4 linked regions of the Alligator mississippiensis genome follow. The protein of the gene in region 3 interacts with the protein of the main gene of each other region in a biochemical or structural test. Links are inferred from orthologs where the notes say so. Each region holds a gene or a part of one and is shown on either strand. Other genes may lie near its edges. The genes, in order: YES1, KITLG, KIT and LYN.

Region 1 (7,925 bases), on a different chromosome or scaffold from region 3:
GCGGGGGAGGGCAGGCCATGGGGTTGAAGGCAGCAGGGTAAGCAGATGTTGTGTGGGGCAGGCAAGAGCAGGGGCAGGCACTACAGGGGGCCAGGCACAGAGGGAAAGGAGGGTCAAGTGGTAGGGGGGAGGCAGGCACTGTGGGAAAGGGGCTGGGCCCAGGGTGCACAGGCACTGGAGACAGGGGGAATACAGGCTGCAAGGAGATCAAATGCTGAGAGGGACAGACAGCAGGAGCCAGCCACTTTACTCCCTTACCGCCTGCTCCCATGTTGCTGCAGCTGCTTGCCCAGCAGCAGTGGTGGGGGCACAAATATGAGACAACCCTGCAAAATCAGATTATATACATTAAAAATTATAACAAATTGATAAATTTTCCGTGTACAGAAGCTATTTATTGGGGGGTTGTCTTATATTCAATGTCATCTTTGATTAGCGTAAATATAGTAATTTTAAGCAAAAGTCAATGGGATGACCAGTTCTTTGAACAAAGAATCATCTTTTTGTTGTGTGATTACACAATGGACCCTGATCATTAACAAGGCTGTGATGGGATATAACAGCACAAGTAATAATACTATATGCATGCTTACAGTAAATGTTTGTATGGATAAGGCCTCCTACTGTAGTTGCTGCTCTTATTCTAGAGTTATTCATCTCTTCAGTGTCATTATATCAGAGGAAAACTGGGCATAATGTCTTTTGGATTCAGTTGCCAACAGAAATGTTGTGGCATATTTGTTCCTATATTTAAGTATTTTTCACACTTTATAAATATAACCATAATATTCATACATTTAGAATCCAAACAATACAAAACAATATCTATGATTCCAAGGCTGTACATCTACATTCAGGAAAATGCTGTGGATTCCTTTCAATTTTTATTCTGCTTTTAACTATTTCAAAGAAAAAGTACTTAATTATTTTGCAAATACCATGAAAAACCTGTTAATCTCTAATAAACAGCACATCGTTAAACACAAAATACCATGGAACAGAATTTCCCAGGAAAATATCCTGATAACATTTTAATTATTTTTTCTAAAGTGCACACTGGCACTTTTAAGTAGTCACAAGATCCAACGGATCTTCTATATCAGGTTTATATATATCATTATCAAAACATTTAAAAATACAAAGCTTTAATTTGTAACTAAAAACTCAAGGCCTGATTTTTAGATAGCACTTTGGAGCTGTATTTGGTAAGCTAAAAAGAATATTTGAAGATGTTTGTGCCCACATCATTCTGGTACCATTAAAACAACATCTTTATTCCTTGTTTTCAATGCTTGTTTTCAAAAACGATCCTTAAATGTTCCCTATGTGCATAAAGTGTAATGTGTTTTAATTTCTTCATGAATTGAATTTTCTGCCAAACTGCTTCAGAAATTTAACCCACTCTTATTTTTCAAAATCTCAGAATGGATGTTTTTTCCTTAGTCACTCATCAGTGACCTTTCATCTTTTTCTACATTTCCTCTCTGTTTTTTTCTGCTCTTTCTCTTCCTCAGAGACATACTTTATGCCTTCATTATCATTTGTATTGGAAAAGTGTCTAGACGATTTAGTCCTTCAATTAAGTAACCTAAATTTTTTTAAAAATCATTGTATAAATATGTAATTACATATTTAAATATAAAACCCAGAAAAAATTGGGCTAATTTTAAAAAGTCTATTTTTACGTATTTTGTATATGTGATATTTGCATATGATAACTATGCAGAAACAAATACTGTATTTTTGCATCTACCAGGTATGTGTGTATGTACATGTATCTGTATATGTTTATATAGCCATATATCCAGCTGTGCATCTAAAAACAGAGGCCAGGTTTTCAAAACCTTATTAAATTTACACTATGAGAATTCCTCCAAAATGCTTATTCTCATTTTAAGGGGTGATGGTCATCAAAATGCATGGGAGGATGCACTGAGCATCTGAGTCTTTTGACCAAGTTTCCAATAATGAGGAACTTTCACCATGATTGGGTGAATTAATAGAACTGCTTTCATACCATAATCGAGTTACCTCACCCCTGACATCTTATGTTCAAACTACAAGAGTTCACAAAAGCCAATGCACTCCTTTAGCTTAATCCTAATATTCACCAAGACAAAATTATTCTGAAGTGTATGCTAAGGATATCTGTATTAAGAAGATCTAAGATTTGGTCTTTTTTAAGATATGTAAGTTTGCCCTAGTGTCTGTTCTGTAAAATTAACTATGCAGCAATGGTTGCCCATCTATATAAACATACAGTTGAGCCCTCAGGCCAAATTCTGTTCTTATTCAACTCCAGTGTAAATCAAAATTAACTCCACTGACTTGTGTTAACGAGACCAGAATTTTAACCAGGCTGTGAATACTCCTTAAATCAGTCATTGGCAATTGAGTCTGTAAAACAATCTTATTCTCGTTAATTAAAAATCAATTCTATATATAGGATGTGAATACTTGAGGGAGAGTTACCATAAATGAAAGATTCAACTAATTTTAAAAAGATCAGATGGATGAAATATATGTTGAGGAAATGTTTCATTCCAACATGTCAAATTGCTTTTCATACTATTATTTTATAAACTGCTTCTTGATACAAATGGGAAGGGTGTGATATAAACAAACTATGCACTCACATTGGTTTGAAATCACAGGTTGCAATTGTATACCACAACTGGCATACAATTTGTATTGGTGTACAATACAATGTAAATCACAAGATCATCTATTTAAAACATGAAAAATACTTAGCAGTGAATTAGTATGCTTATTATTACAGCACCTTCAACTTTGGAAACAAATGCTGGCCTGATACTGCAAGTACAAATACACGTATAAATTAGGTTTGAAAATAAGTACTCCTGAGAGAGACTGATTTGTACATGTGAAGCTGGAAACCTCACAGAGGTGGAAAGGGATCTTGGAGTCCTAGTGGCACAGAGGTGGAAAGGGATCTTGGAGTCCTAGTGGACTCCAAGTTGAACATGAGCCGGCAGTGTGACGAAGCCATCAGAAAAGCCAATGGCACTTTATCGTGCATCAGCAGATGCATGACAAATAGGTCCAGGGAGGTGATACTTCCCCTCTATAGGGCGTTGGTCAGACCGCAGTTGGAGTACTGCGTGCAATTCTGGGCGCCACACTTCAAGAAGGATGCGGATAACCTGGAGAGGGTACAGCGAAGGGCAACTCGTATGGTCAAGGGCCTGCAGACCAAGCCCTACGAGGAGAGACTAGAGAAATTGGACCTTTTCAGCCTCCGCAAGAGAAGGTTGAGAGGCGACCTTGTGGCTGCCTATAAGTTCATCACGGGGGCACAGAAGGGAATTGGTGAGGATTTATTCACCAAGGCGCCCCCGGGGGTTACAAGAAACAATGGCCACAAGCTAGCAGAGAGCAGATTTAGACTGGACATTAGGAAGAACTTCTTCACAGTTCGAGTGGCCAAGGTCTGGAACGGGCTCCCAAGGGAGGTGGTGCTCTCCCCTACCCTGGGGGTCTTCAAGAGGAGGTTAGACGAGTATCTAGCTGGGGTCATCTAGACCCAGCACTCTTTCCTGCTTATGTAGGGGGTTGGACTTGATGATCTATTGAGGTCCCTTCCGACCCTAACATCTATGAATCTATGAATCTATGAAACCTTTGGTTTATAAGCTTTCCTTTTTTCTCATTCTTGTGTTTTGTGATCATAAGGTTAGCTGCATTTGCAGGTGAACTCTCTCTCTCAACTCTCCTTTGTGGCAGACTTCCTTCCTTGCAAAGTTATCACTGTAAATGTGAAATGCTGATTCATGAGCCTGAGGTCACTGGAAACTGGGTGGTGTAGAACTGGATGTTACATGATCTTGAGCTCTTCTACTGTTGTGATATCCATCTGAACTGTCCCTAGTTCAGGATCCGGGGCTGCAAGCAGTGTCCAAAACACAGCAGAAGGAGAACTCCAGTGCTTCCCCCTCTATCCCCCAGTGGTCTCATTTGCCTCACTTGAACAAATTTTAAAAGGTAACTTGCAAGCAAGCAAGCTTGCACATCTGCCCAGGTTTACTCATTTGGAGACTCCCTCGGAAGGGACTCAATTTACAGCTATTGCGCAAGCCACTCTCTTGACAGAGCCTGGGGTGGGGGGGAAGGATTTCAAATCTGTTTTCTGAAAGTCTTCTTGCTGAGCCAATCCTGGATTGCCCCAGAGCCAGTCCTCAATCCTGGACTACCCTGGGGCCAATCCCAGACTGTGCCAGGGCCGGCCCTGGACTACCTGGGGACAGGCCCGGACAGAACCGACCCTAAAGGTGTGCGGGGCCTGGGGCATATCCGCCTGTGCAGGGGCCAGACATGGCGAGAGGCCGAAGCGCAGAGCTAGTGGCACATGGTGGCCACGCAGAGTGGTGGTGGCCTCAGCACGTGCCAATGGCACTGCCCGCAAGGCCTGTACAGCATGGGTCACGGGGCCCCCCCCCAAAGTGTGGAGCCTGGGGCGGTCGCCCCAATTCCCGAGCCACTCCAATCCAGGGTCAGTCCTTAATCCTGGACTCCCTAGGGATAATCCTGGACTCCAAAACCATTCCCCGACTGTGCCAGGGCTAATCCTGGACTACCCAGGGCCAGCCCTAGAGTCAATCCCAGGCCCAATCCTCTATCCTGGACTACCTGGGGCCAATCCTCAACCCCGGAGTGTCCTGGGGCCAATCCTGGATGATTCCCGGGCCAATCCCGGACTATCCCAAACCAACCCTAAGCCAAATCCCGGGGCCATTCCCCGGCCCCAGGGAGCGGGAGGCAGGCAAGCGCCCGCCGCCCGACCCCGCCCTTCAGGGCCCTCGGGCAGGAGCAGCGCCCCCTGCGGGCCGGGCCGGGCGAACGAGAGCCTCCCCCGCGCGTCGGCCGCCGCCATGTTGGGCCGGCGTGTTGCGCTCGGGCCGCACTGAAGGGGCGCCGCCGCCTGCCGGGAACAGGGTGTGAGCGCCGTGCCCGGCCCGGCCCGGCCCCACCCCTCCCCGCCGCCGCACGGTGCGGGGAGCCCGGCGGCAGCGGGAGGAGGCGGGGAGGCCCCTCGCTCCCTGTCTCGCTGGCGGAGCGGAGCGGCCGGCTCCCCGCGTGCACAGCCCAGCCCAGCCCAGCCGGTCGCGGCCTTTCCTCCTCGACCCAGCGGCCAGAGCAGCTGCAGGTGAGGCCCCGCTCCCCGGGGAGGCCGCGGCGGCGCTAGGCCCCGCACACCGCGCCCTCCTGCGGGGGCGCCTGGCTCTGAGGAAAGTTTGCGGGGAACTTTTTTTGGGGGGTGCGGGGCGCGGCGGCCCCCGGGGCGGCCCCGTCTCGCGTGGGGGGTGGGGAGCCGCGCCGCCCGCCTGGGCTGAGGGAAGGCGCCGCGCCTCCTCGCTTTGTGCGCGCTGGGTGGGTGGGGGCCCAGCTGCGTGTCCCTCCCACCCGCGCCTGGGGCGAGCTTTGCTCTTTGCCTCTCCCCCCTCCCCCGGCTTTGTCTGTCTTCCTTGGTCGCTTGTGCTGCGTGTGGGTTTCAGGACTGGGAGGCATTGGCACATGCTGCCCAGAGAGGCTGTGTCATCTCCATCCTTGGAGGTTTTTAAGACAAAGCCTTGGTGGGGATGATGCAGTGGGGTCTGGTCCTGCTTGGAGGAGGGGAGTGGGGGGGTGGGATTAATGTCCCTTCCAGCCCTCATGTGACGGGTTCAGGCCTCGGTTGACCCGGGAGGCGAAGGCAGCTCTCTGTAAAAGCGTCCTGTTCTGTCCCAGCAGTGCTGGAAAAGGCAGACATCAGGGAAATGCATTTTTCCAGTCCTCTGTAGCCTGGTGTCCCTGCTTTCCTCCGGTAATGCATCTGTGCTCCCCTCTGTTCTCCTTGTGGCGACTTGTATCCGAGAGGCAAGGCATCTCTAGGACCATGCCTTTTCTCAGACCAGCCACCTGGCTGAGATAGTTGAACGTCCACATTACGAGATCTCTTGCCTTCGAAAGCTCGTCTATCGGGGGCGCAGTGACTTACAGGTTTACGTTTGCAGTAGTTGCCCTTTGTGGAGCCTGCTTGTTTTTGAAAAAAATCAGATGGAGAAAGCGTAGGCCCTCAGTCTTGTGGAGACATGTACTTGACTTTGCACCTTGTGAGTAGTCATCTATTGATGCATGGTCCATCGAGTTCTGCACGGGAGTGAATACCAGCAGGCTGGGGGCTATAGGCTGTACACCTTAGGCAACAAGTGCATACCGTTGTATTTATTTCGGTAATTCCAACTCCACATGTTTTGTGACCAGGGATATGGACCATTTTGCTTTGTTTGGGTAGAGTAGAATATTGTTCTAGAGAGTGATTTATTCAAATATACCATGCTAATTAAATATTAGGCAAGGTGTCCTTTTTAGGGTACTACTCCCCCAAGTTCTGTAACGTTAACATAGTGCTTTTTCATAAATTCTTCACGTTTTGTAAATTTCAAAAACAACTCCTTTAGTTAACAATATAACTTGGACCTCAGTCTTGCAAAAGCTTAAGCATATGTGTAACTTCATTTAAAAGTAGGGTCCAATGAGTCCACATTCACAAAACTAAGCAGGGATGTTAAGTTTTGCGGAGTCAGGGCCTTAGTACTTAGTACTAACGAGACAGTATTTGCAACATGAATGAAGTATAATACACGGATCAGAAGGGATTATTTTTCTCCCCAAAGCAAAAGACTACAGTAAACACGTTTACAGAAGGGGAAAAATAAAAGCCTGGGATAAAAGGCAGAAACTGATTGTTATGCGTCTTTGGTTGTTGGTTTTCATTACTTTCCATCAATTTAGGCCCAAATCCTGCTTTCACAGTCCCTTCAGCGGGAACACAGTTAGTCCTTAAATACCTTTAATTTGTATTTCTTATTATAAAGTAGAATTTATTCAATTATTTTTGCATAGTATTTTCTACCAAAATGGGATTTTGGCTTCTAGGGGAAAAATGTGTGTGTAAAAATATATATTTGAACGGTCAGATTATTTTATGTATTGTATATAGCTAGTGTAACTATAATAATTTCAGAGAAATCCAGAGCGGGGGGAAATGCCCCCTGCAACCCCACAGCTCCCAGGAGCGGGACCATGCAGGACAGCATGGTGTGTACACACACACCCACACCCACCCACCCCCTGTGGCGTGGCTCCTTCCCCTCTCCTCCCCACCCCAAGTCTACTGTTAAAGCAACACTGTTTGCAGCCCAGAGGAGTCCAGACCAGGGAGCAGCCCATTGTCTGGGCTCCTTGGAGAAAACTGAAGCAAAAGTTCCATGTTGGCACAAAGCTGCCCACATGTGCCAGGCTTCTGAGTCAGGAGGCAAGCAGGACAGTCTGCACAAATCTGGGATTTTTGCTTCAACTTTCTCCAATGGCTAGGACGCTGAGATGGCCAGGACAGTTCCAGATTTCAGAGGCTAAACCAGGACATATGGTCACCCTATATATAGCTCAGAAAAAATACTGCTTTTGCAGGGGTGTAGTATGTTAGAAGGTACTAAGTTAAAGTAGTTAGTCAGATGCCAGTTTTTACCTGCCATGTCATGTACCAAAATAATGTAAAACTACAAGAGAGTCTATTCCTTTAACACACCAGGAGGGCTTTGAGTGTATTGTTACCCATATTCATGTAACAGAACAAACAATACAACGTTTTATGCTCTAGAATAGAACCTTCTTTATTTTGATATGCAATATACTTCCAGCATCTCCAAGAGAGTAAATCAAAACTATTCACTGTGTTCCACTGTGGTAAATGTGTGTTGTCACGTGACTAGTGTACAAATGTCTATTTTGTGACAAACTATAAAACAAGCTCTGGTTATATAAACTGGCATTTAAGTGGTAGCATGACTTTACTGCTCTATACATTTCTATTTGTCTTTGGACAAAAGCAAGACCTTAGCAATAAATTTTCAGTCAGATATTGC
Region 2 (7,924 bases), on a different chromosome or scaffold from region 3:
TAGCATCCCCAGAGCTATTGAATTAGTCTGATCACTATTCTAAGAATTACGTATACTAATACTATGAATCTATTTAACTTTTACTAGTAGTATTTGCCCAGAGCACTATCGCTGTCACCATTCAGTCTAGCTGAATTCTTACCTAAACTTAATATTAGAATTTAGGTGGTAGCACTAAAGTCATGGCTTGGACATGAATAGTTTGTTCTCTGAAGAAAGTATTTATTGAGTACAGCCATTACAATTTTTAATCCAGAAACGACAGAAAACTTTGCCTAAGTTAATACATAACAGAAACTTTGCATAAGTCTTGCATGGGTTGAAGGGAACCTGAGAGCAAGTAGGGAAGGAGAATAACCCCCACTGCCACCACAGCTCTGGGGCCATAGGCTCTGACTTATTTTTGCTGGGAGGTGGGGGATAGTGGGGCCTAAGAAGATGGACACATGGAAAGTTGTATTCATTCCAGGTGATAGCCCTCTTCCCAAGGGGAGCCAGGATCCTTGGCCCCCCCATGTACTTGGCACCTTTGTTCTTCACCAGTTTCACATTGATGTTTATGAACCTGCCCCTGCAGTCAGTCAGATCCTGCTATATTATTCTTTGTGGATGAGATATTCACTTGTGTGTTCTGCAGAAATACTAGGCGCCCATGAGTACCATTAGTGGCCCCTAAACAGTTTGGAAGCCCGTCATCCAAAAGCCAGCTATTATTTCAGATGTGGTAGCTACATCCATGACTTTCATTTATAGTGTTAGGACGTAGTTACACCGTACAATTCTCACACACCAACTTTTGGACATTTGGCCAGTGTTAAGGTTAGCATGTGCAGCCCTGACCTGCCACTACAGAGCTGGAGAGCATAGACGTGAGTAGGAGCTTACAAGTTTGCTTCATGTCTGCCCAGCTCACTGGCCCTCTAGCTGCAGTATATATCAAAGGGAATTGGGCACTGGCAGTAGGGGAGAAAAAGGGGTAGTAGACTATTGTTCCCCCCTGCTGCCCAGATTGCTCCTCCAACTACTTAGATCACCACCCCACTCATAGGCAATGACTCCATGGGTGCTCCAAAAAAAATTAGCAGGTGCTCAGCACCCATGAGCCACATCAGGTCAGCTGGGTTGAAGTAACATGCTGCCTCTTCTGGGCATGTGCAGTGCTCAGTGTAGGAATGCAAAAAAAAAAGAAGCACCCACCGGCAAAAAACAAAGTAGATGCCTATGTGCAGTGTGTAGAGCCAGTTTGGTGTATGGTGCACCCAGCATGGGGACTGGAGCTAACATGAGCACTGCATGCAGCAGGCAGGTCTAGTCCAGGGCATGGACTGCATCTGGCACCCACACTGGACTGACCCTGAATGCTGGATCCAGGGCCAGTCTGTATCAGGCCCTTGGACTATCCCTGCATGCTGGATCCAGTGGACAGGGCCAATCTAGCATGAGCACCACATGCAGCATATACCCCAGACCCATCCTGCCCCCGGGCCAAATTAATTTAACACTCCTGCTTTAGGGGACCAAATTTCCCTTGTCCTGCCATGGTTCCTGGAACCCAATCAACCAACGTTAAAACTGTCACATCTTCCCAGCTTTGTTGAAGGTATAACGAGAAAATAAAACCTTTGGAGAAAGAGAGCTGCTCATATAGGCTCACAGAAACCATTCAGGACATGCTGCATAAGTCTGCATTAATTATTGCTGTAAAAGAAAACCTAAATTCTTTCCCCCACTGCCCCATACTATTCCAAGATGGAGTGCGATGATGCAGTTCAGTATGCAGACAAATGTAATTTTCTATAAGGTGAGTTGCTACTTTGACAGATTGTTCTTCCATATTTTCCACTGCTTCCTTCTAGGAGGCTAAACCTGCCATATGTTTTCAAGAGGAAATCTGCCATAACATTTTCATTTCCTGGCCCACAGTATTTGTCAAATGTGTAAGCTGTAGATGCAACACTGACTGATCACCTCTAAGTGATCTAGGAGACACTTTCTTTCATCAAGCATAGGCATTGATATTTTATTTATAGGCTTCCTCTCTCCTACACTTTATCTTGTCTGTTTAGATTATAAACTCTTTGAGGCAGAGACTGTTACTATGCGTGTGCTTAGCACAATGGAGCCCTGCAGGCAGAAGAATGAGGCAAATAACAACTCTATGGTACTCATCACACTAGCATCTGACAAACTAAAGCATGTAATGAATTTGTCCTGCATTCACTACTCTGAAGCAGAGTGGTAGTAAAGTTCCAATTTCATGGATTGGGAACTGAGGCCCAGTCTCTAATTAGATGACTTACCTAAAATACAACCCCCCCCCCCAACAAAAAAAGAGGCAAATCTGGGAATAGATCCCAAATTGCTTATATTCCAATTCAATGCCATAACAGACATGTCCTTCTCTTGAAACAATACTGTGCTTTCTGAAGTCTTGAAGTGAATTCTAGGTTAATACTAGAGAAACGTCTGCAATGAACTGATCTGTTACTTCTTCTAGTGGCACTTCTGATCTCCCTTGGAGAATAACTTGACTTCAGTAGGTTATCAGCAGGGATCCTGATTTTCTCTGATTAAAAAAAAAATCCCCAATTTTTGGTTTAAAAAAGTAACACCAAATCCACATTTTTTCATAAAACAGTGTTTCATTTAAATCATGGGAAAAAGTGGCGGGGTTACTTTTTTAACTGAAAATCGGGGATTCTTTTTAAATCAGAGAAAACCAAGATCCCTAGTTATCAGCTAGTTTTCTTTCTCTTCAATTGATGCTAAAGTGATCTATGGCCATCATTAAAACACATCTCAGGAAATGTTTATCCCATAAATTCTACCCCCCTTCTAATGCTCAAACTCTGGGACCCATCATTTCAGACGGAAATTATGGGATGGAGTGCCCAGCACGACAGACATATGGCAATAATCAATAGAGTCAGCTAGCATGCCAGAACTGATCCCATCATTTTAAAATCCTATGCATTTTGGGTGTGTGTACATGTGCGTTTTAATGTGCAGTAACCTATTCTACTGTGTATTAAAGCATCACATCAAAAACAGTGCTAATATGCAGTAGAATTAGTCTACTGGGCATGTAGCATCTCTAAATAGGCATTGGTTTTTGCTACTGAACATTTGGGCAGCCTAGTGTGCCTTTATGTAGTACTCCATATTAGGCAGTGCAGACAGAAGTGAGTGACAATTTTTGCCTAATCTGGCCATAAAAAGCAGTTTATAGACATGACTGAACACAAGTGCACAGCTGCAAACAGCTTAAAAAATGGCGGATAAGGTGAAAATCTGACCTCCTCATTGCATGAGGTATCAGATAAACATGTTACAAAACATAGTGTCTTTTGTAAGGTGTTTCTGTGGAGCTCCCTGCCTGTCTCTGTTTCAGAACGGGAAAGGGGAAAGTGAGCAGAGGGAGTTCAGCCTGTGGGTTTATCAGCCCCTCCCTGAAGTTGGGGCAGGTTTATTGTAGCTCCCCCAAGTTGTGGGGCTCCAGTTCACTTACCCCACCCTTCAGCACCAGCTGGGGCACCCCAAGAACGAGCTTCACCTACTGCCTTTCCTCCCCTCCCATTCTGAAAACAACAAGCACTGGCAAAGAGCCCTGGCCACTGCTACGGGAACCTGGCTACAGGCTCCCCTCCACCCTGGAGCCAGCAGTGAACTTCTGTCTGGTCTGGGGGTAACCCTGTAACTCTGAACACTTGGCAAAAATTGTTCTGAGTTACAGCTGGGAGCATAGCTGACCCGAGCAAGGTGCAGGGCCCTGGGCAAATCAGCCCATCCCACCCTCACTCCAAACCTACGTGCCCTGGACCCTGTTGGCGGTGGGGTGGGGGGGTAGTGAGTGGCTAGATGCGAAGCTGGTGGTGGTGCCGAGTTGCCACAGCCGCTCCACTGAGCTCTGTGGGGCCCCCAAAGTGTGGGGCCCAGAGCAGTTGCCCCGTGCCCTGTTTTGCTCCCCACACTAGGGACGGCCCTAGCTGGGAGCTGCACTTCTGTCCGCACACAGCGGTACTAAACTGAATGCTCAGTAGCAAATGCACATTCAGGACTTTGAAAGTGTATTCTGGACCTACCTGCAGGCTCCCCTAGAGATGGGCCTGCTTAATTCAGTGCTGCACAGCCTTTTTGGACTCCAGGCAGTCCTCGGAAAATGTCACCTCTACGTTTTCAGGAGCGGAAAAAAAAATAGCAGAGTGCTTCTTTTCTTGCAAAGACCTCAGGGGAGGTGTGTGTGTGTGTGGGGGGGGGGGGGGGGGGAGAAACCACAACAGGTTGGGTGGGTTTTAACCCTTCAAGATTCCTGCTGGAAACCTCTGGGCTTCTGTTGCCACCCAGCCCAGCACTGCTGCCTGTGTGTGGCACTCCTGAAAGAAGTTCAAGGCACCTCAGGGCACCTTGAGTATCGCTGTCTTCATGACTTCTGCCACGAGAGGTGGGCAGAGGAAAGGGCGCTTGGCTTTTCTTATTATTAACTGGCTCGCTGCCTGGCTTCTTCTTAAACATGTCATGAAGAGCCGGGAGACGGCAGGCAGGGCGTTGCCAGGTGGGGACGGGCATGGGGCTCCTCGCTGTGGGGCAGCCCGGCTCTCTCGCCGCCCGCCCTCAGCCCGCTCCTCAGGCTTTGGGATGCTCGAAACTTTCTGAAAACTTGTTACCAATTCGGTCCTGGGCACCGGGGGAAGGGGCCGCCTGGGGCCGGGCACGAGCGCGGTCCAGCCCAGCCCAGCCCAGCCCAGCCCCGGCGGCGCTCGGGACTAGGGCGGGCAGGACAGGCCGCGGAGCCCCGGCCCCGCGGGTTCCCGTCCCGAAGGGGCGTCGCAGCCACGCGCTTCCCCCCGCCCCCAGTCCCGCGGGAGGGCGGGGAAGGGCGGGTCTTGCCGGGGCTGCAGCCGCGGCGGCGGCCGAAGGCGGCCGGGGTATAAAAGGAGGGCGCGGGTTGCAGCCGCCGCCTGTGCTGGCGCGGCGGGAGCGTGGAGCGCGTGGGCACGGGGTGCGGGGCGCCGGCTCCGGGCACCGCCGATGCGTGGACTATCCGCTGCTGCAACATGCCGGAGCCACGGTTCCGCTGACTGGAGTTAGCACGCGACGAGCTGGGCTGGACTGCAGCGCTGCCTTTCCTTATGAAGAGGACACAAGTGAGTGGGGGCCGGGCGCACGTGCCCTCCCAGGGCTGGGGCGGCGCGGCCCGGTGGCGGCTCCCCCGGGCACGCACGGCCGCATACACATGCACATAGACACACGCACAGACGGGCACAGGCACACACATAGCCGCACACAGTCAAGCACGACACAGGTACACGCAGACAGGCACACACACATAAGTGCACACACGCACACAGCTTGACAGGCGCACGCAGCTGACAGGTACACACACACACTGTGCATACACACATAGGTGCACACACACAGGCGCTGACAGGTGTAGGTGCACACACGCGCACACACAGGTTGACAGGTACACACACACGCCGGGACGACTCTATTCCCTGCCTGGACCCTTGCACCCCCAACCCCGCCGCGCCGCGCCGGGTGCCGGGCTCGGGCAGCCCCGCCCGCCTGGCCCGTAGCTGCGATGCGTTTCAGGCGCTGGGGCATCACCGGGGCGGCCTGGCGGAGGCCCTTGGCTTTCCAGCGCGAGGAGCTGGGTGGGACCGAAGCGGCGCCTCCGCCCCGCGGGGCTCGGCAAGTCGGCAGCCGCGGTTGGGAGCTCGGCTAGTGCTTTCCCCGGGGCGAGGCGATAGCGGCACCAGGGCTTGGCAGGTCCTGGGAGCCTCGCACGGGACAGAGCTGTTGCGAGGCTCCCTACTCGTGTCGCTACTCGGGCTGAGATGAGGGATGGCTTGAAGAATTCCCTTCTCGCCCTCTGCACAATGCAGTTGGGAGAAAAGTTCCAGTAAATGGGTTGGGATGAGGCTCTGATCGCTGACGATTTCCGCTAAGAACCTAACCTTAATAAATAAGTTACATATGTTGCCAGCCATGCCCTCATTAGATAGGTATGTGCTAAACACAGTGGACCTAAAACGCCAACTAAAGAGACAGACATATAGCTCAGTGCTATTCTGATTAGTTTCATTCAAGCAGCTTGTACCATACAGGACTCCGTATACATTTTCCATAGCTGTTTGGCATTCTTCCCCTTGCCCTTCCTCACCCTAGTAATAAAGGATTGCTCTGTACAGATGTGGGACTTTGTGCTATTAGGTTGTGCATGAGATTACAATCACTGCACTGTGTATATTTTCAAAAGGGGGAGGGGGAGCATAGTTGGTGAGAAAGGAGCAGGGAAATAATTTTACAAGCCCCCAAAGCTCTGTCAAGGGTAATGTCTGAGACTGCAAGATAGTAAGTGCTTGTAAAAGTCCCACTGCCTTCAGTAAGCATCAAAAGTGCTCAATACCTCTAAACTAGTAGAAAAAGGGAAAGAAATACTAACAGTGTAACAGCAGCCCCAGTACAGCTAGGGGCTGCTTTTGTTCTGGATGTGCTGCTACCTGTTTCTTCTTATCTGAATGCTTCCTAATTTGGTCCTGGTAGCTCACTTAAGGTATATAGCTTAAGGTTTTGGTGTATAGCTAGGATTAGTACAATAAACTAATATTAAAGACGGAAAAAATAAAAGGAAAAATAACCAGAAATGTGCCTAACTGTTCTACTAAGCAGTCAAAATAGTCTACCAAGTGGACTAAGTAGTCTCTCAAAAGGAGGGAATAGGAAGCCCTTGTCTCATCGGGCATTTAGACCTGGATTGGACAAAACCTGGGGAAATGTATTGCATAGAGAACACTTGTGTAGCAGCTGTAGAACTCAGTGGTCTGTAATTACAGCAACATCTTATCAAAATGAAAACTCATATAAAATGAATATCTACAATAAAATGATCAGCTAACATTGCTATAACTAACACTTGAGATCATCGGGTTGGCTTTCACCCCTTAGCTATTGTTCCAGCACTTACATACTCAGTACAGATGATTATTTGGAAGTGTTTCTTTGCAACATAAGAGTAGAAACTTTAAAAGTGTATACCTTTATTTACAATGGAATTGCTAACAGCAAAACACTAATTGTAACCTATTCCAGTTTACTCTTGGATGCGTGTATGGGGAATAGGAATGGTTAAAAGTTACCAAGTAAGGTGATTTGTGATCCTTGTCCAAGGACATGTTTAACTTACAAAAAATGTCAGTTATCACTTATGAAGATCCCCCCCACACCCCAATTCATAAATGCAGGGCAAAGCAAGCATAGTGGTTCCACCAATTATACCCGAAAGCCAAGCAGTCTGGCATTCTGCATCATATGGCTTAACTCAGGGGTTCTAAAAAACATGGTCTATCCAACTGTTTCTATCACAGCAGTAAAGCATCTGTCAGCCTTCAAGCAGTTTCGCTTCCTGCTTGTTGGAGGTAGTTATACAGGTTTGGGTTTCTAGAGCTTTTTTCTCAGCTATCTAATCTTTAAAAAAAACCATACAAGAATCATTAAGCCTCCTTCAAAGTTGCTGCATATTCCTTCTAACACTTGTGATCTAAGATGAAGGGATAGCAAGCACACAAGAAGCCAAAAACAAACAATGAATCATTCTGAAGAAACTGGAGTATGAGAAACTAAACAAAGTACTTTTCATAAGAAACATGAAGTGTTACATGCAGAAGAAGAAAGCAACTAACACAATTAAAAGAGAGGGGGTGTAACCAAAAAGTAGAAATTAGTATTTTGATATTGCTTTATTATTCCTTTCCATGTAACTGGATTATGTGTGTTGCAAAGAAAAGGAATGGAATTGGCAATCTAGGAAGGAAGCTGCCCACTAGATCTTTAAGAAGCAGATGAAATTCCAAAAAGTTTGAAAGGTGCTCCCTTAGCGGAATAAATTAAACTGATCAAGATCAAACGGCCTTAAAAAACTATA
Region 3 (7,850 bases):
ACAGAGGCTGACAACAGCAGTGGGTCTGCCAGTGAGGGTCTGTGAGCAGTGGCGGAGTTCTGGGGGTGGTGGTAGGGGTCCAGCAGGCACAGGGTTAGCAAAGGCTATATCTGCACAGCTCTGGCTCTGTGCCCTGCTGCCAATTGACAGCACCATTGGGGCCCAGTGTCCTGACTTCTGTGGCAGGCCCTCCTTCTGGCCCTGCCTCCAAATTTCAGTAGCCCAGTGGGCCAGATGGAAGGGGCTCCACAGGATGGATCTTTGACATCCCTGAGCTAAACTAACATCCAAATGGATTTAATTAGAGATTAGGTACCAAAATAACACAAGACCTTTTCTATGTTCACCAATCATTTGATGCTATGACCGTGGTCAGTGATTTTTCTAGATTTAGTAAGGTGTTTACTACAATGAGTAGTCTAATTGATCTGGATGAAAACATTCCAGGAGTTCCCTAAATCCATAAACCTAGCATCACTTGAAGAACTGTGACATTGGTCCGGCCTCAACTGGAGTACTGCGTCCAGTTCTGGGCACCTCACTTTAAGAAGGATGTGGCCTGCCTTGAGAGGGTTCAGAGGAGGACCACCTGCTTGGCTGGAGGGCAACAGGGCAGGCCCTATGAGGAGGGTCTGAGGGACCTGAACCTGTTCAGCCTCAGCAAGCAGAGGCTGAGGGGGGATTTGGTGGCTGCCTACAAACTCATTAGGGGAGATCAGCAGCAAATAAGAAGGGTCCTATTCCTCCCAGCACCACCTGGGGTGACGAGGAACAATGGCCAGAAGCTGCTGGAGAATAGGTTCAGGTTAGAGATTAGGAGGCACTATTTCACTGTCAGGGTAGCCAGGATCTGGAACCAACTTCCTAGGGAAGTGGTCCTTGCTCCTACCTTGGGTAAATTCAAGAGGAATTTGGATGAACACCTGTCCGGGGTTGTGTGATCCCAGCATGTGCTCCAGCCAGTGGCGGGGGGGTTAGACTAGATGATCTATTCATGTCTCTTCTGACCCCTAACTACTATGAAACTATGAAACGTGTATGAAATCCAATAATGAGAACAGAGGTAGAAGAAGTAGGCACATTCATTCATCATTATTATTCCATTATACTTGGTAACTATGGGTCCAATTCCTTGACCTGCTCTTGCTCTGGCCATTTACAGCAATGCAGCAGAAACATGGAGTGTTACCATTCTGATTTGGTGGTGGCTTTATGTTTGTGTAAATGACTGTCCAAAGCATAAGGCCATGCTGAATTGGACCCTGTCTACTTGTTGCTGTTCAGGACCCAAAATAAAGTCAGTGCCCATAACTGACATAAGACTGACAATAGAAGAGGAATGGGGAGAAACCTGTCAGAATGAACCCTTGAGAACTTTTTTCTGAGATCTTTATATGATGCATTTTATACCAATTGCATCTTGAACAAATTAAGCAAGAAGTACCCAAAAGCACTATAAGAATTTCTGAAGAAACAAAGACACTCCCAAAAATATTTAAAACAAAGAAACATCTCTTAAGATTTCTTTTGTCACTTTCCAATATTAATTTTGTGAGGCTGACCCCTAGTAATAAATGTTATTTTAAGGAATGCTATTTGAGAAAAAAACTGTGTATGTACTATTAAAAAATAAAACTGCATGCTACTTTTCAGGCAAAGGAGGGAACCACCCATCAAAAGAGACTAGCTGTCTAAGATGAAAGAGAGCAGAGAAATGGTGAGAGCCATTTTAAACATTCCACACAAGACTTTCATCTAATGTTGGACCATATGGGACAATGCTATTAACCTTGGAGAAATCTGACAATGGTGAACAAAAATTAAAAAATAATATATTGCTTTCAGTAGCTTTTCTGATCTTTACTGACACACTTGAAAAAGTCTACATTTATTCTGGTTGCATCTCACTATTGAAAGTTTTGTCCTCTCTCTTGCTCTAAATCCTTATGCAAACAACAAACAAGCTTTCTTTTCCTTGACAGTTTTCTTTAACACTCTTTAATTGTGTCTTCCTATCTAGCACTGCATTCTTTCAGCTATCTGGTAGGAATTTATTCTTTGAATGCATATAGGAACTCATACGTCTAGAGTCACATGCTGTAATGTGCTTTCACCCCAGCAGTTTAAGAAAATGACTGACAACCAACAGCGTATAAAACTGGGGTCAGCAGCCTATGGCCCGCAGAACCACTGCATCTGGTTTGTAGACATGAGGGGCTTTTGCTGTGTTTTGGCATAAGGGGAGCTTCTGTGCAGGGATTTGGTGGCTGGGGGCTTTGCCTGTGCAGCAGCTGGGCAGCAAAGAGAAGCTATGGTGATGGTACTGCAGGGACAGGAGTAGTGACTGCAGCTGCAGCAGTGGCAGTGCAGGCTGGGTGGGAAGCTACCTGCTGTCAGAGCTAAGCCCCCCACTCCAAAATGTTGCCCACCCCGATATGAAAGGTAGGACATATACTATATTATCTCTGAATGATATGCAATTTCATTCTTGCTGCTAAGTATAGATTTATGTATATTTCTATGGATGCTAATTAATATATAAGCCAAAATTCCAATATTTATGAATATATAATTATATATGCAAGATGTTTACATAATTATACATTGTAATTCTTTCTCAAAAGAGTTATCTCCCTTCTTTTTTCCCCTTTCATCTTAGTCAAAAGTATTTGATTGCAAGCTATGGAATCATGGAAATCATAGAAAGGTATGCCTGGATGAGATCTGAGTTCAGCACTCCTCCCCAAGCAGGAACAAGTATATCTAGATCAACCCTGACTAATATTTGTCTAACTAGGCTCCCTCTATATGTATGTATCACACAATTACCCAGTTAATTGTACAATTTAGACTGGCTACCTGTACAAATTAACTAGCTCACCCTAAAAAAGTCCAATCAGCTATAAAGTTGTTGCTGGAAAATGTGTAATAACTTTATAGCCGGTTTGTATCCAGCTTCAGTTTGCAATTTCAGTAGCAGGGTCTGCCCCTGTGGCTAGGAGCCATATTAGCTGATGTGGCTCCCAGCCAGAGGGGTGGACCATACACAGCCAGAGCTGGGAGTCCTGCAGCTGAGGGGACTCACAGCCCCAGCAGTTCCACAGATGCCAGCATGGAGAGTCCCACAGCTGATGAGACTCTGCTGCCCAGCAGTGCTCCATAGCTTCAGACTTTGAGTCCCTGCAGACCTTGTGGTAGCTGCGGGACCCTCAGCCCCAGAAGCCATGGGACTCACACTTATGGGAGAGTGTTGCTTGCTGGTGCAGACCGGAATGGTGATCACAGGATCCCCCTGTACCAGCAGTAAGGCATGAGAGGTTCTGCTGCTAGATCCCACAAGCATGCCTCCTGCCATACATGTGTGGCATGGCAGGAGGTGCAATTATATGGATTGCTCAGCAGATACTACCATGCCTTTGCCTGAACATCTAGAGGGGCTTTCACCTATTTTACTTACAGGGACTCTGTAGTTAGCCTGTTTCACTTCTTATCTATCTTCCTAGCTAAAAGTTTTTCCATCTATGCTAAATCTCTCTTGTCGAAATTAAGCTAAAATGACCATATTTCCTGAGAATTGAAAACTATCCCTTTTTTAACAGCCTTTTACATATTTTGACTACGACTGTATTCAGTCCCCCCTCAATCTTCTCTGTTTTGATCTAAATAAACCCATTTTCTTCAGCCTTTCCATGAAAGTCACATTTGCTAAGCCTCTAATCATCCTGAGCTCCTCCCAATATGTCTACATCTGGAAGGGCAGTGTTGTGAGCTGGACACTGTACCTCAGCTGAGGCCTCAGAAGTTGGGAGTCTGACTTTATGATGTCTTACCTGGACATACTCCTATTACCGCATCCCAGAATCCTCACATCAGGTTTTATTTCTTGCAAATGAAGTAAACTGCAGCTATTGTTTTCTTTTTTCTTCCCTCCTTCCCTCAGCCCAATCCTACTCTGACCTCCCATTGCAAGGGTTGCCTGGAGAAGGGTTTCACCCAGCTGCTGTGCAGGTTTTAAGCCTTCTCTGCCCGGGAATCTGATCCCACTCCCTAGTATTTGAGGATTTGAACAACACATCCTAGGACCAACATGCTGCCTCTTGCAGTTGTGGGATCACCTCACCAGATCAGTAGTTGCTAATTCGGGAGAGCAATGATTTTGGGCAGAGGGCCACTTACTGAGTTTCGGAAAGCCATCGAGGGCCGCATGACAGGCAGCCCAGGGCAGATTAATATTAATTTTCTACATTTTTTAGGGGCCCCGCGGACCGGATAGAGTGGCTTGGCTGGCCGCATCCAGCCCCCGGGCCGTATTTTGCTCACCCCTGTGCTAACTGCACCTTGGTGGTGGGGAATGCGGCCTTTCCTCTAGCTCAGTGGTTTACAACCTTTTTTTATGTGAACCCCTTTGGAAATTGCGGACGCCTCTGACTTGTGTGGGTATTCTCATACTTATGACTGATCACAGTAATCTGTTGGGAATCCCTTAGACATAGTCAGGGGATACCCCCTCCCAGGGGTCCCTGGACCACAGATTGAGAACCACTGCTCTTCCTCAAAAGAAACGCCAATGACTGCTCCATCCAAGTAGAGCGCACATGCCCTCTTGTCTGACCAAGGGTGTTGCACTCCAGTAAAAGATACTGGATTTACCCAAAAAATCTTGTCTGCCAATGATTTGTGAAGAATTTTCCACGCCAGATCCTCCACTGCCGCCATCGGCGGTGTGGGCAAAGAGTTGCTAAACTCAATTTAAACGTGAGGTGGGGGGGAGCGCAAAGCCAGCCCGGCAGCCCCGAGACAATCCGGCAGCAGGGCGGGGTCGCGGGAGGAGGTGCGGAGGCGGGGCTGGAGCTGGAGGAGGAGGAGCAGGAGCAGGAGCAGGAGCAGGTGGTGTTTGTTGTACTCCGACAACTGCCCGTGGAGGCGCCTGTCCGTGCGGGCGCTGGGGACCCGCGGCGAGGCTGAGCGCGGGACGGGCGTTATGGAGGGCGCGCTCCCTGCCCGGGGGCTCGCACGGCTGCTGCTGCTGGTGGTGCTCCTGCTGCGCTTTCCAACAGGTGCGACCCTCACGCCGGGTCCCGGCTCGCCAGCTTGGCTGCGCTCTCGGGGAGCCTCCGCGTGGGGCGTGCAGGGAGGCAGGAGCGGGTGCGCCGCAACTTTCCCCGCTCCCAGCCCGGGGAGGGAGCCCCGGGGTCCTCGGCCCGGCCCTTGGCGCCACTGCAGGCTGGAGCGCGGCCGGCCCGGGGGGCATGAGCCAGCCGGTCGGGGGCTCCTCGGGACCAGCCTTGGCTGGGGGCGGGGGTTGTTGTGTCGCTCCCCGCGCGGCTCGTGGGCACAAAGCGCCGGTGTCCAGTGAATGATAGCGCCGGGAACAAGGAGATCAAGTGTCCCCGCGGGCCCCCCCACCCCGGCAGGGCGGAAACATCCCCCTCGGGGTGGCTGTGCTCCTTCCCGGGGCCACAAGGGCTAGGAGGGCTGGCAGAGGCCATCTAGTGCACTCCCCTGCCTGAGGCAGGACCATCCCTAGCCAGATCTTGGCTGTCACTTGTCCTGGCTCCCCGCAGCGTGTCCCCACACCAGGAGCTTGCAGGCTTGGTGATAGAGAGACACTGCTTGGCAGCTGGTCTTTTCTGGTGAAAGTGCCCCACGCTGCTGGTTTTTAAAGGAGTTGTCCTTATTCTTATGGGTTTTTTAGCCCCGTTGAGGGTGCAACCAAGAATGGTCCCAAGGGACAGCCGCTGTGCTTGCATAGGGAGGGTTGCCAGACGGGGTCCGCTCACCGTCACCGCTGCGTTGCCATCTTTTCTTTGGGTGGCTGGGTCGGGAATGGTGATGGGCTTGAAACAGTTGCACTTGGGGAGTAACAAAGGCATCGTGCTCTGGGGCCAGATGCGTGTGTAGGAGCTTGGCTTCAAAGGCCCCTCAAAGGCTGCCCACAAGTTGATCCAGCTGTAAACGGTCCCTAGTTGTTCAGGGTGAGTCGTCTGAGTCATGTGATGCTAAGTCACATCACTATCTTCTGTGGACCTGTTGGCTGTAGAAACGGTTGCGCTTTACTCCCGCTGGCCTGACGGGCTGTTTAATTTAGTTGGACTTTTATTTGTACATATATGTATGTATTGGCTTTGAGTTCTGCATTCCTCTGAGCAGTCCTGCAGATGTCACTGAGACGGCTCGTGAAGGAGAATCGGTATGAAGAAAGGTTGCAGAATCAGTCTCTTAACAGCTTAAGCATGATATCACTGCAGTCTACCTGTTGATTGCATAGGAGGTCAGACGATGACAAAATCAGTCCAAGCCACTAATAACACCTTTGCACCCATAATGTTGATCTGTTGGGCTGACATTCACCTTTCCCTCCTCAAATTCCTTAGTGAAGGAAGAGAACAGGAGGCGTTAGTGAACCAGTTTTGTCTCTGGTATAATTGTAATGATACAGACTTTTATTCTGTACCAGCAATAGCCTGCTGCATGATTTTTGCAGAAGGTTGCTTTCATTCTCAGTTTCTCCACCTATAAAAGAAAAATAATCATTTGAAGATGAGGGTGAAAGGGTCATCTACAGTCCCCTAGAGGATCACCTAGTCAAAACTTTTTTAGCTCTTTTCACTTGTAGGTCTCAAGGTGCACTGCAGTATTATGAGAGCCGGGCATTAATATTTGAGGAATTACTCCCACCTGGGAATAAATTTGGCCCACTGTTTGCACCAAAAATGGTAACGTGATTCCTTAAAAATACTTGCATTACTATTTTAGATGCATCTAAAGATGAAGGAAAGCAATGAACGGTGATGTTAAATGAAAGGTGGTGGCTCTTACTCTCAACTCCTTGGAGCAGAGGTTTTCAAATAACTATTTCAGGAACAGGGGGAGTGTAGTAGAATTTTTAGCCACAGGTTTCATATATTGGCAGTAAATAAACCTAATAAAATAACTCTGGTAGCTGCAGTAGTTGGTTTTGTATGTTTGCAAGCATTTTATTGTGGGATGAGAGATGGGGTAAGAATGGATGCATAAACATGGACTCCTGTTTTATTTCATGATAGTCTGTGATATATATTGTGATATATACTTTCAGTTAAAAGATGGATAAAACACATGTGCATATATAAAACCTGCTCAGAGTTGCACTGTGTTCCCTGAACAAATTAAGCAACAGGTCAAAGGAGCTACAAAAATGAACAAACAACTCTCTTACAAGATTTTACTCCCTCAAATTTCTTACAAGGTATATAAAAGGCAGCTATGCTTGACTTCCCTCAAGATCTCTTACCTCCAGATGCCATTTCTTGTCCCAGCCCCTTATGCAGTCTGCTGGTTGTCTCCCGTCTTCCAATTAGCCCTCCCCTTCCTCAGGAAAAGCCTGAGAAAACAGGTCTGTCTTGTGACATGCCCTAAAGGTCACCAGATCCAGGCTCTAACATAGAAAGTACAAGGTTTACTTGCACTCACCTTGAATGGCAACCTTAGATGGATTTGCTCATACCAATGAGAAATGAACAGTCTAGTGTGTAAGTCTCTCTGTAGTAAAGACATGTATCTTTGGGCAAAAGTATAATTATTTCCATATAGTCATATACACATTTACATTAGATCTAATGTAAGTAGGTCAGGCATTTGTTTCCTTAATGCCTGTCTCTATTGCAGTTAAAGAATGAATTGGTATCATGAACTATAATACAGTTTCTCTTGTCAAACTAAGCCATTTACACCTTGTCCCTTGCATCTCACTATGCTGTCACCTTTTTCTTTTCCTCCATTTTGTAGCTTGCTCTTTTTTGTGAGGTTTGTGAGGTGTTCTTGAATCTCCTCTCATTTTCTCCCTCCCTCCCTACACCTCTGGTGCATGC
Region 4 (7,343 bases), on a different chromosome or scaffold from region 3:
CAGGAGTCATTAAGTGTGACATGGTTTTTTATTCTCGAGGTGGAGCACCTTGCATTTCACCATATTGAATGCCATCAGCTTTTCATCTGCCCACCTTGGAAGCCTATCAAGGCTGACCTGGATCACCAGCCTATCCTCCAGTGTGGACACTCTTCCTCAAAGTTTGGTGTCGCCAGTGAACTTGGCCAGTCCACTTTTGACACCAGTGTCCAGACTGTTTATAAAGACAGTAAAGAGTTACAGGTCTGAGAACGGAGCCTTGGGGGATGCCACTGGTCACTGACTGCCATGTTGATTCAGTTCCATCAACTACTACTCTCTGGGTCCAACCTCGGAGCCAGTTCCCCAGCTATCAGACTGTGGAGTAGTCGAGGCCGCAGTTGCTCAATTTTTCCATAAGGACATCATGGGAAACCAGGTCGAAGGCTTTTTTAAAGTCCAAATATATGACATCAACCTCTTCTCTTTTGTCCAGGTGATACGTCACCTGGCCATAGAAGGAAATGAGACTGGTCAAGCAACACCTACCCACAACAAACTTGTTCTGGCTATCCCTCAGAATGTAGCCTTCTGTTAGCCTGCTTGTCTGTGAGAATACAGATGTCCCACCGAGCTGAGACTTCAGCAGCAGAGACCCTGAATTTGCCAGTGGGCAAGAGTGCTGCGGGCAGAGGAAGAGAGGCAGCAGAACTCCCTGGGTTCTAGAGACACCAAGCCTCACAGGCCACGATTTAACCCATCAGGTGGCATGTCACCAAGGCAATATGCCTTTTATTTAAGGCAATAATGCCTTTTATTGGATTTGTGGGCCATTTTATAAAAGGTTGAAATATGTTGAATTTAATTTTATTTCCCATCCAGCCTTTAATTTCATAGCATGTTTTAAGCATTGTCTTTATATTTCTTTATGCTCTGCATTGCTTTTGATCTTGTGAAGAATCTTTAGTCTTAGCCATTCTTTGATCAAATTGTAGGGTTTTTTCCTTCCTTTTTTAATTCAATAACTAGCTCTTCAATTATGGCCTTGTCTAAACTATTTTCAGGTTCTGTAATAGGGTTTCACTTAGCATTCAATGCTTTTCTTGCTTTTCTCCTCCACATGTCCCTGTGTGGGCAACTATATGACATGATATAAACAATGAAGATATTAATATCTGCACTGTACATTTTATTTCCATTTGACTTTGGATGGCCCTAAAAGCATAAGAACAATTTTGGAGTATGAATAGTTTATTATGATACACAACCTTTTTTTTTTTTTTCAGCATGTTGTTGATTATTTAAGGTTCCTCTTTCATGTTTTCTCCCTATAGTTTTTTTCTTTTTTTAATTTAGATCTTCTGACTAGCTTCAGGTCTGTGCCTCTGAGATGTGGAGTTAAATCTAAGAAAAATAATTACTGAGGTCTTTGGTCTTTCATTTATATAAGCATTTACTTGTTTATGTAAACAGATTCTTGTGTACGTAGAGTTCTCAAAAAAGTTACATATCTATCCTCTTTATCAGATAGGAACTATGTCACTTTAAATGGGATTTTTTTTCCTGATATGGATAACAATCTTTGTTTGTTCTTTTTACAAAATACAAAATATGTATCTGAATCCAAACCCTCTTCATTTTAGTCAGATCTTCCTGAATGGATAAGAAAAAAGTTTCTGATATATCTCCAGTATCTTGTACCTGGCTGCAACTTTTTAAGATTATTCAGCAGGTTTTTTTTCTTTTACCAGTTTATTCAATAAATTACATTTCAAGAAAATAGTTTCTAAGTTCTCCTAGCCTCTATTACTGGCAGAGATGAAGAGAGCTTTTAAAATCCAGGTCTGTTTTATTTACATGAATTTTCTGATGCGAAAACTTTTTGCAAATAGAGTAAGGAAAAAATAAGGGAAAGAAGAATGTGTACCATGCACTGATTTCCCTTGTCATAGTCCATAGTCTATTTTGGCTAGGGAGTCCAGCCTGTAGAGGAAATGGGAATTTATGAGGCCCTATCCTACAGTTCCATTCTGAGATTGTGACAGAATTTCAATTTCTAACAAACAATTTTTTGGTAGCTGAGTTTCTATCAAAATATGAAAATTTTCATTAATATTATAAATGAAATTGTACTTGTTTTGATTTTTGTCAATTTCTACTGGAGAAGCAGTCTTCACCTCTAGTCCTCTAGTGCTTGTGGGGGGGGGGGGGAGAAAAAAGAGAAGAAAAAAGGAAGTCTTTCAATTTCTGTTGACAGAATTTGAAGGAAATCCCTTTGTGCAACACTTGCAGAGATTATTTTATTACAGACTCTGAGTATGCTAACTGCATTATTTTAAATGCACTTTATGTTTTGAATAAAGCAATTATTCAGTTCTACCATTACCAAAGTAAAATAAGGAATTGTATAATTTAAAATGTTTTAATGAAACAACTATCTTTATCACTATCCATATATTATTTTCTTTTAAGATCTTGTATCATACTAGAATAAAATAATCAATAAAGACAAAATATTGAGTTTTCAATAGTTCAGCTCTGCTTCTCCTGTCTAGCTTGGAAATCTGCTGGGCACATGCCAGTAATTGTATGGATCCAACTTGACTTTCTAAGACTTCCAGGAATGTCATTGCTTCCTTTGGATCACTGAAGACTTTCATTCCTGTAATGCTAGAGAATAAACTCCTTGTAGCAAAACAGATATCAGGAATGAACATTGGTACCAGTCCTGAGTTTCTTCATTGCAGAAATCATGGCATGTGGAGAGAGAGAGAGAGAGGCAGGAGTACTTGGTGCAATCTATATTACGTGGTCACTTGGGACTGATCTACCAATGCTGTAAAGCATGCTCTTTTGCTCAGGTATTTTAGGCTAGGTACAGACATTCAAAAAGCCCAAGGTGGAATTAATCTAAATTACTCAGTTTTCTGTAAACAACAAAGTTTAAATTGGTAGCGAACGGAACACATATTTGCCCGTCACTGGGGTGACAGCCTTAAAAAAATATTCACCTTTGTGCCAGCTTTGTATCAGCCCCTAACACCACTTGGCTAGTCCCAAGATTTGGGTCTGCTGTATTCCCCAGTTTTAGTGCTGTGCCCCTAAAATTCTCACTTGCAAAGTCTCTTTACTACTTTTAACCTCTTGTCTGCTCAGAAAGTAGACATGTCTTTAGTTTGTTGAATTGTGGCTCCTCAGTGCCCCACCAAATTAAGGGGGGATTTTGGTTTTACCTAGTGTGTAACAATCAATGCTTGCAATGCACAGCAAATAGGCCTGCATCCAGCAGGGGGTTGGACTTGAGGACCCTTAAGGTCCCTACCAGCCCTGAATTTTTTTATGCTCAATGAAGAGCTGGCTCCAGCTATTTTTTTTCCCTTTACCTACCCTCTTCTTATCAGACCAACTTTTTAGGACAGTATTTTTCAACCTTTTTAGACTCAAAGCATCTCCCATTGGCCTCCTGGTCACCTCAGAAAATACCAGCTCTTAGTTTTCACTTGGTTTTTTGGACTATGGAAAAATAGTAATGGCAATTTTTCTGCTGTGGAGAATTCAGAAAGACCCCAGCAGGTCTGGAGGTGTTGGACAGATTCTTCCTTGAAACCTCTGGGCCTGTCTTGCTAGTGGTAGCTAGCCTGGTTAGCCTTGAAGTGGGTCAGAAGGCAACTTAGACAGACTTTCAGGCCAGGTACAGACATTGTACTTTTACTGCGGTTGGAAACTGGGCTGTACCCGTAACAGAACAGAAGTTCGGCAGGCAACCAGTGGGCAAGAGGGTTGACTGGCATAAGTGACTGGTTTCCAATAGACCATAAGCGACCAATAGCTTGGAAACCAGTCTATACCCATAACAGAGCAGAAGTTCGGCATCTGTAATCGGGTTAAAAAAATGGCCCAACCTGGGGTAAGATTTGCCCAGCCCCCCAGGGCGAATGTGCGTCCTGTTCGCTATAGGTCTAAACTAGGCTGCTTACAAAGCCCTGCCTCGCTGAGATCAGCTCCCCCTCGGGCTGTTTGAATGTCTGTACCCAGCCTCCCAGAGGAGCTGGCATTAAGTAAGATGCGCAGGGGGAGCCCAAGCCTGCGTGCGCCCACCTGCACTTCAGCAGGTGCCCAGGAGCGGCCCCTAAACCTGGCAGCCCCTGAAAGGCTCTCGGGGCAGCCGGAGCTGGGCTGAAAAAAAGGGGGGCGCTTAGGCTCCGGCAGGCGGGAAGGGCCGCAGCGCTGGGGCCGGCGACGCCCCGCTCCGCCTGCCCTGCCCTGCCCTGCCCCGCCCCGCCCCGCCCGGGAGGAGACCAGGCACCCTCGGCCAGCGGCGCTGGGCGCGGGGAGAGCCGGGATCCCCGCCGGGGCGCCCGCGGGGGAGGGGGCTGGGCCGGCCCGGCCCCGCCCCGCCTGGTTTGTGGCGCCGCGCCAGGCCGGGGCCGCGGAGTTTGATTCCTCCCCCGGCGCTTATGCAAATCTCCCGGCAGCAGGAAGCGACCGCCAACTCCGCAACTGCCCCGAGCGCCCGTGGCTGCGCAGGGAGCGGGCGCGGACAGACGCCTTCCCCGCGCCGGCGGCTCCCGCACTCGCGCCACCGTGGAGCCCGGGACAGTGAGTGTCGGGGCCGGGCGGGCGGGTGAGCGGGGCAGGCTCCGGGGAGCCCTGCCTGTTGCTTTAGCAACCGGGTGTCTCCAGTGGGACTCGCTTGGGAGTGCGCGCGCGCGTGTGTGTGTGTTTGTGTGCGCGCGCGGTGGGACCCGCCTTGGCGGCGCGTCCGCGAGCAAAACAGCTTGGGCGGGAGGGAGCCGCGCCGGGCTCGGGCTCGGGCTCGGGCTCGGGCTCGGGCCGGCGAGGGGCTGCGGCTGCTTTGTTAGGGCCCCGCACCTGAGCGGCACCCTCCGCGGCAGCCCTCGGCCGGGCGAGGGAAAGGAGAAGTCGTGCGGGAGCCATCTGGTGCAGGCAGAGCCGGCTCGAAAGAGGAAGTGCGAGGCTGACTGGGCAGCCTGCGCCTCTGCCTCTTCGGGGAACTGGGCTTTGAACATCAGATAAAATTAAAAAAAAAAAACCAAGAAACTTCTGGTCTGTTATTTAGAGCAGTGGTTCTCGACCTTCTTTGTACCAGGACCCATTTGGAAACATGGATGGCCAGTTCCGAGCCGGTCCGAAGCTTAAGTAGAAAACAGCCCCCTGGCCCTGGCCTCCCAGCCTGTGCGGTAGGGGGCTCCGGAGCAGCCCACAGCTCTGCCAGCCTGCAAGGTTTCCCATGGTTTTCTCCTTTAAAGGAGAATCCATTTGTAAAGTTTGTTCGGGACCCTTTCATATAGTCTTCTGACCCACGTTGGGTGTTGCGACACGCAGGTTGAGAAACCGACTTGGAGGACACCAGAGCTGTTTTCCCGGTGGCTAGCTTTTCTCCTTTTTTCCGAGGAAAGGGTGTTGCCACTGTCTATACTCTTCCACCCCATAGAGTCCAATTTTTAAGCAAATGAAAGTATTTTTAGGTGAGAGGCTTTCTAAAACCAGCTTTGTGTTTCCTACATGGCTCCTTCTGGCATACTTGTGTTCAACAACACCACCGCTACTACTAATTGAAAACGAGTTGGATGGAGTGCCAGGAAGCACGTAGGACTACTGAGTCAGTTTCCTCATGATCAGGGTTAGACGCTAAGAAGTAGGCACCTCACCAGGTCAGTCCTGAAGGCAGGATTGTTCCCAAGGAAACCATCCCAGCCAAGTGTTTTCTAAACTGCTTTTGAAAGTTTCCAAGCATTCCACAGCTTCTTTAGGGACAACCATGCAGTCACTCAGCAGATGGCTGGTAATGGATTCATGGCAGTCACCACTAGACTTCTGGCTCAGATTGGACAGCCATCTGGGGCTTCGGCCCTGAATAACCTGAAACAGGTCTTCTTTGGGAGTCATTCATAGCCTGTTCCAGTGCCTGACCACCCTCCGAATCAGAAAGTTGCTCCAGCCTAAATTGCCCCTTCTGCATCTTGAGGCCATTGTTGCTAATCCTGTCACCTTCAGCTGCAGAGAATGCCCATCCTCATGAAAAATAATCATCAGGCATTTGAAGACTGTTATCAAATTCCTTCTCAGTCTTCTCTTCTCCGTACTAAATAACTGTAGCTCTTTCATCCTGTCCTCAAAAGTCTTTCCTCCCAGATCCAGAATAATTTTTGTTGCCTCGCACTGAACTCTTTACAAACTACTTACATCTTTCTTGAAGTGTGGGGCCCAGAACTGAACACAGTACTCAGGGTGAGGCATCACTAGTGCTGAAGAGAGAGGAAGAATCACTTCCCTTGATTTGCAAGTGACACGCCTGTTCATGGGCAGATCTAGGACTTGAAAAGTGAGGGTGAAAATGGTGTAATAAGGATAGCATATAACAACGCATTTTTCTAGGTAAAAAAAACTAGAAGCTTTGCTAATATGCAAGGAGCCTATGGCTTTCTTATTCAGTTTAAGATATTTGGTTTTGCTTCTATAACTATTGGCATGTGTTAATTTGTTATAGCATATGTTATGTATTGAAAAACAAACAGGCAAGAATAATTAAAAGATCTTGTTCCTGTGGTCATTACAATTAAATGGACATCTCTTTCAGAGTCACACAACAAAATCAAGCTGCCTTAAGCATCTTGACAGTGCATCCAAGCACTGAAAGTTATTTCCACACATGAGTTAATGTTTCTAGCTAGGGTTAAAAATCATCTTTGGGGCTATGAAATAGGAACTACATTACATGGAGCCAATAGCAGGCAGCAGAATTACAGAAGAAAGAATTGCTTGATTAGTGATACACTGAGACCATTAAAAAAAAAGGAGAGAGGGTCATTAACACCTGTGAAGTGAAGAGTTTAGAAGGCATCAAATAGATTATAATGAGCTGTGAAGTCCTTCCAGTTCCAGGCAATTTGTTTTAAGCTTTGGGTGGAGCAGGAATCAAAGAGGAGGGCAACTGCACTGCCCCCCTTCCCCCCATCCACCCCTGCTGCTGTTGGTTTGTTGCAAAAAAAAAATCACCTCATTAATTCATATTCAGTTTATGGTCCACTGTAATTCTGAGGTTCTTCTCTTCAGAACTGTAACCTAGCTAGTCATTTCCCAGTTTGTAAAAGAAAAACATGTAGCCCTTTAGATAATCTAGAATTTGAATACAAACTATCTAGTGAATCTGATCCTGGCATCACCACACAAGTTACAACTGCTGTTTTTCAGCTCGAACTTAAGTATGCTTCTGAGTTGTTTAAAAGAAAAAGAAGAAGAAAAATGAAAATGGTATTGAGATATTGCATGTGTGTGTTTTCTTACTGGCTGCCATAATAAGCCTACTTGGTTTCGAAGGAAAAATATGTTTTTCCTAACTG

What was found.
Region 1: the proteins of KIT (region 3) and YES1 form a complex in vitro, tested with the Homo sapiens proteins (2 studies listed by BioGRID and IntAct, with this or other methods). The link is inferred for Alligator mississippiensis from reciprocal best matches to the Homo sapiens genes KIT and YES1.
Region 2: the proteins of KIT (region 3) and KITLG form a complex in vitro, tested with the Homo sapiens proteins (3 studies listed by BioGRID and IntAct, with this or other methods). The link is inferred for Alligator mississippiensis from reciprocal best matches to the Homo sapiens genes KIT and KITLG.
Region 4: the proteins of KIT (region 3) and LYN form a complex in vitro, tested with the Homo sapiens proteins (2 studies listed by BioGRID and IntAct, with this or other methods). The link is inferred for Alligator mississippiensis from reciprocal best matches to the Homo sapiens genes KIT and LYN.

What each region holds. Positions count from the first base shown.
Region 1 is NC_081826.1:89,119,755-89,127,679, reverse strand, and holds the start of YES1 (tyrosine-protein kinase Yes), read left to right. Parts: upstream 1-4,910; 5' UTR 4,911-5,164; intron 5,165-7,925. UniProt on the Homo sapiens protein: Non-receptor protein tyrosine kinase that is involved in the regulation of cell growth and survival, apoptosis, cell-cell adhesion, cytoskeleton remodeling, and differentiation.
Region 2 is NC_081827.1:84,719,641-84,727,564, reverse strand, and holds the start of KITLG (kit ligand), read left to right. Parts: upstream 1-4,923; 5' UTR 4,924-5,129; coding exon 5,130-5,144; intron 5,145-7,924. UniProt on the Homo sapiens protein: Ligand for the receptor-type protein-tyrosine kinase KIT. Plays an essential role in the regulation of cell survival and proliferation, hematopoiesis, stem cell maintenance, gametogenesis, mast cell development, migration and function, and in melanogenesis.
Region 3 is NC_081825.1:59,919,950-59,927,799, forward strand, and holds the start of KIT (mast/stem cell growth factor receptor Kit), read left to right. Parts: upstream 1-4,845; 5' UTR 4,846-4,981; coding exon 4,982-5,057; intron 5,058-7,850. UniProt on the Homo sapiens protein: Tyrosine-protein kinase that acts as a cell-surface receptor for the cytokine KITLG/SCF and plays an essential role in the regulation of cell survival and proliferation, hematopoiesis, stem cell maintenance, gametogenesis, mast cell development, migration and function, and in melanogenesis.
Region 4 is NC_081826.1:71,440,564-71,447,906, reverse strand, and holds the start of LYN (tyrosine-protein kinase Lyn), read left to right. Parts: upstream 1-4,330; 5' UTR 4,331-4,436; coding exon 4,437-4,578; intron 4,579-7,343. UniProt on the Homo sapiens protein: Non-receptor tyrosine-protein kinase that transmits signals from cell surface receptors and plays an important role in the regulation of innate and adaptive immune responses, hematopoiesis, responses to growth factors and cytokines, integrin signaling, but also responses to DNA damage and genotoxic agents.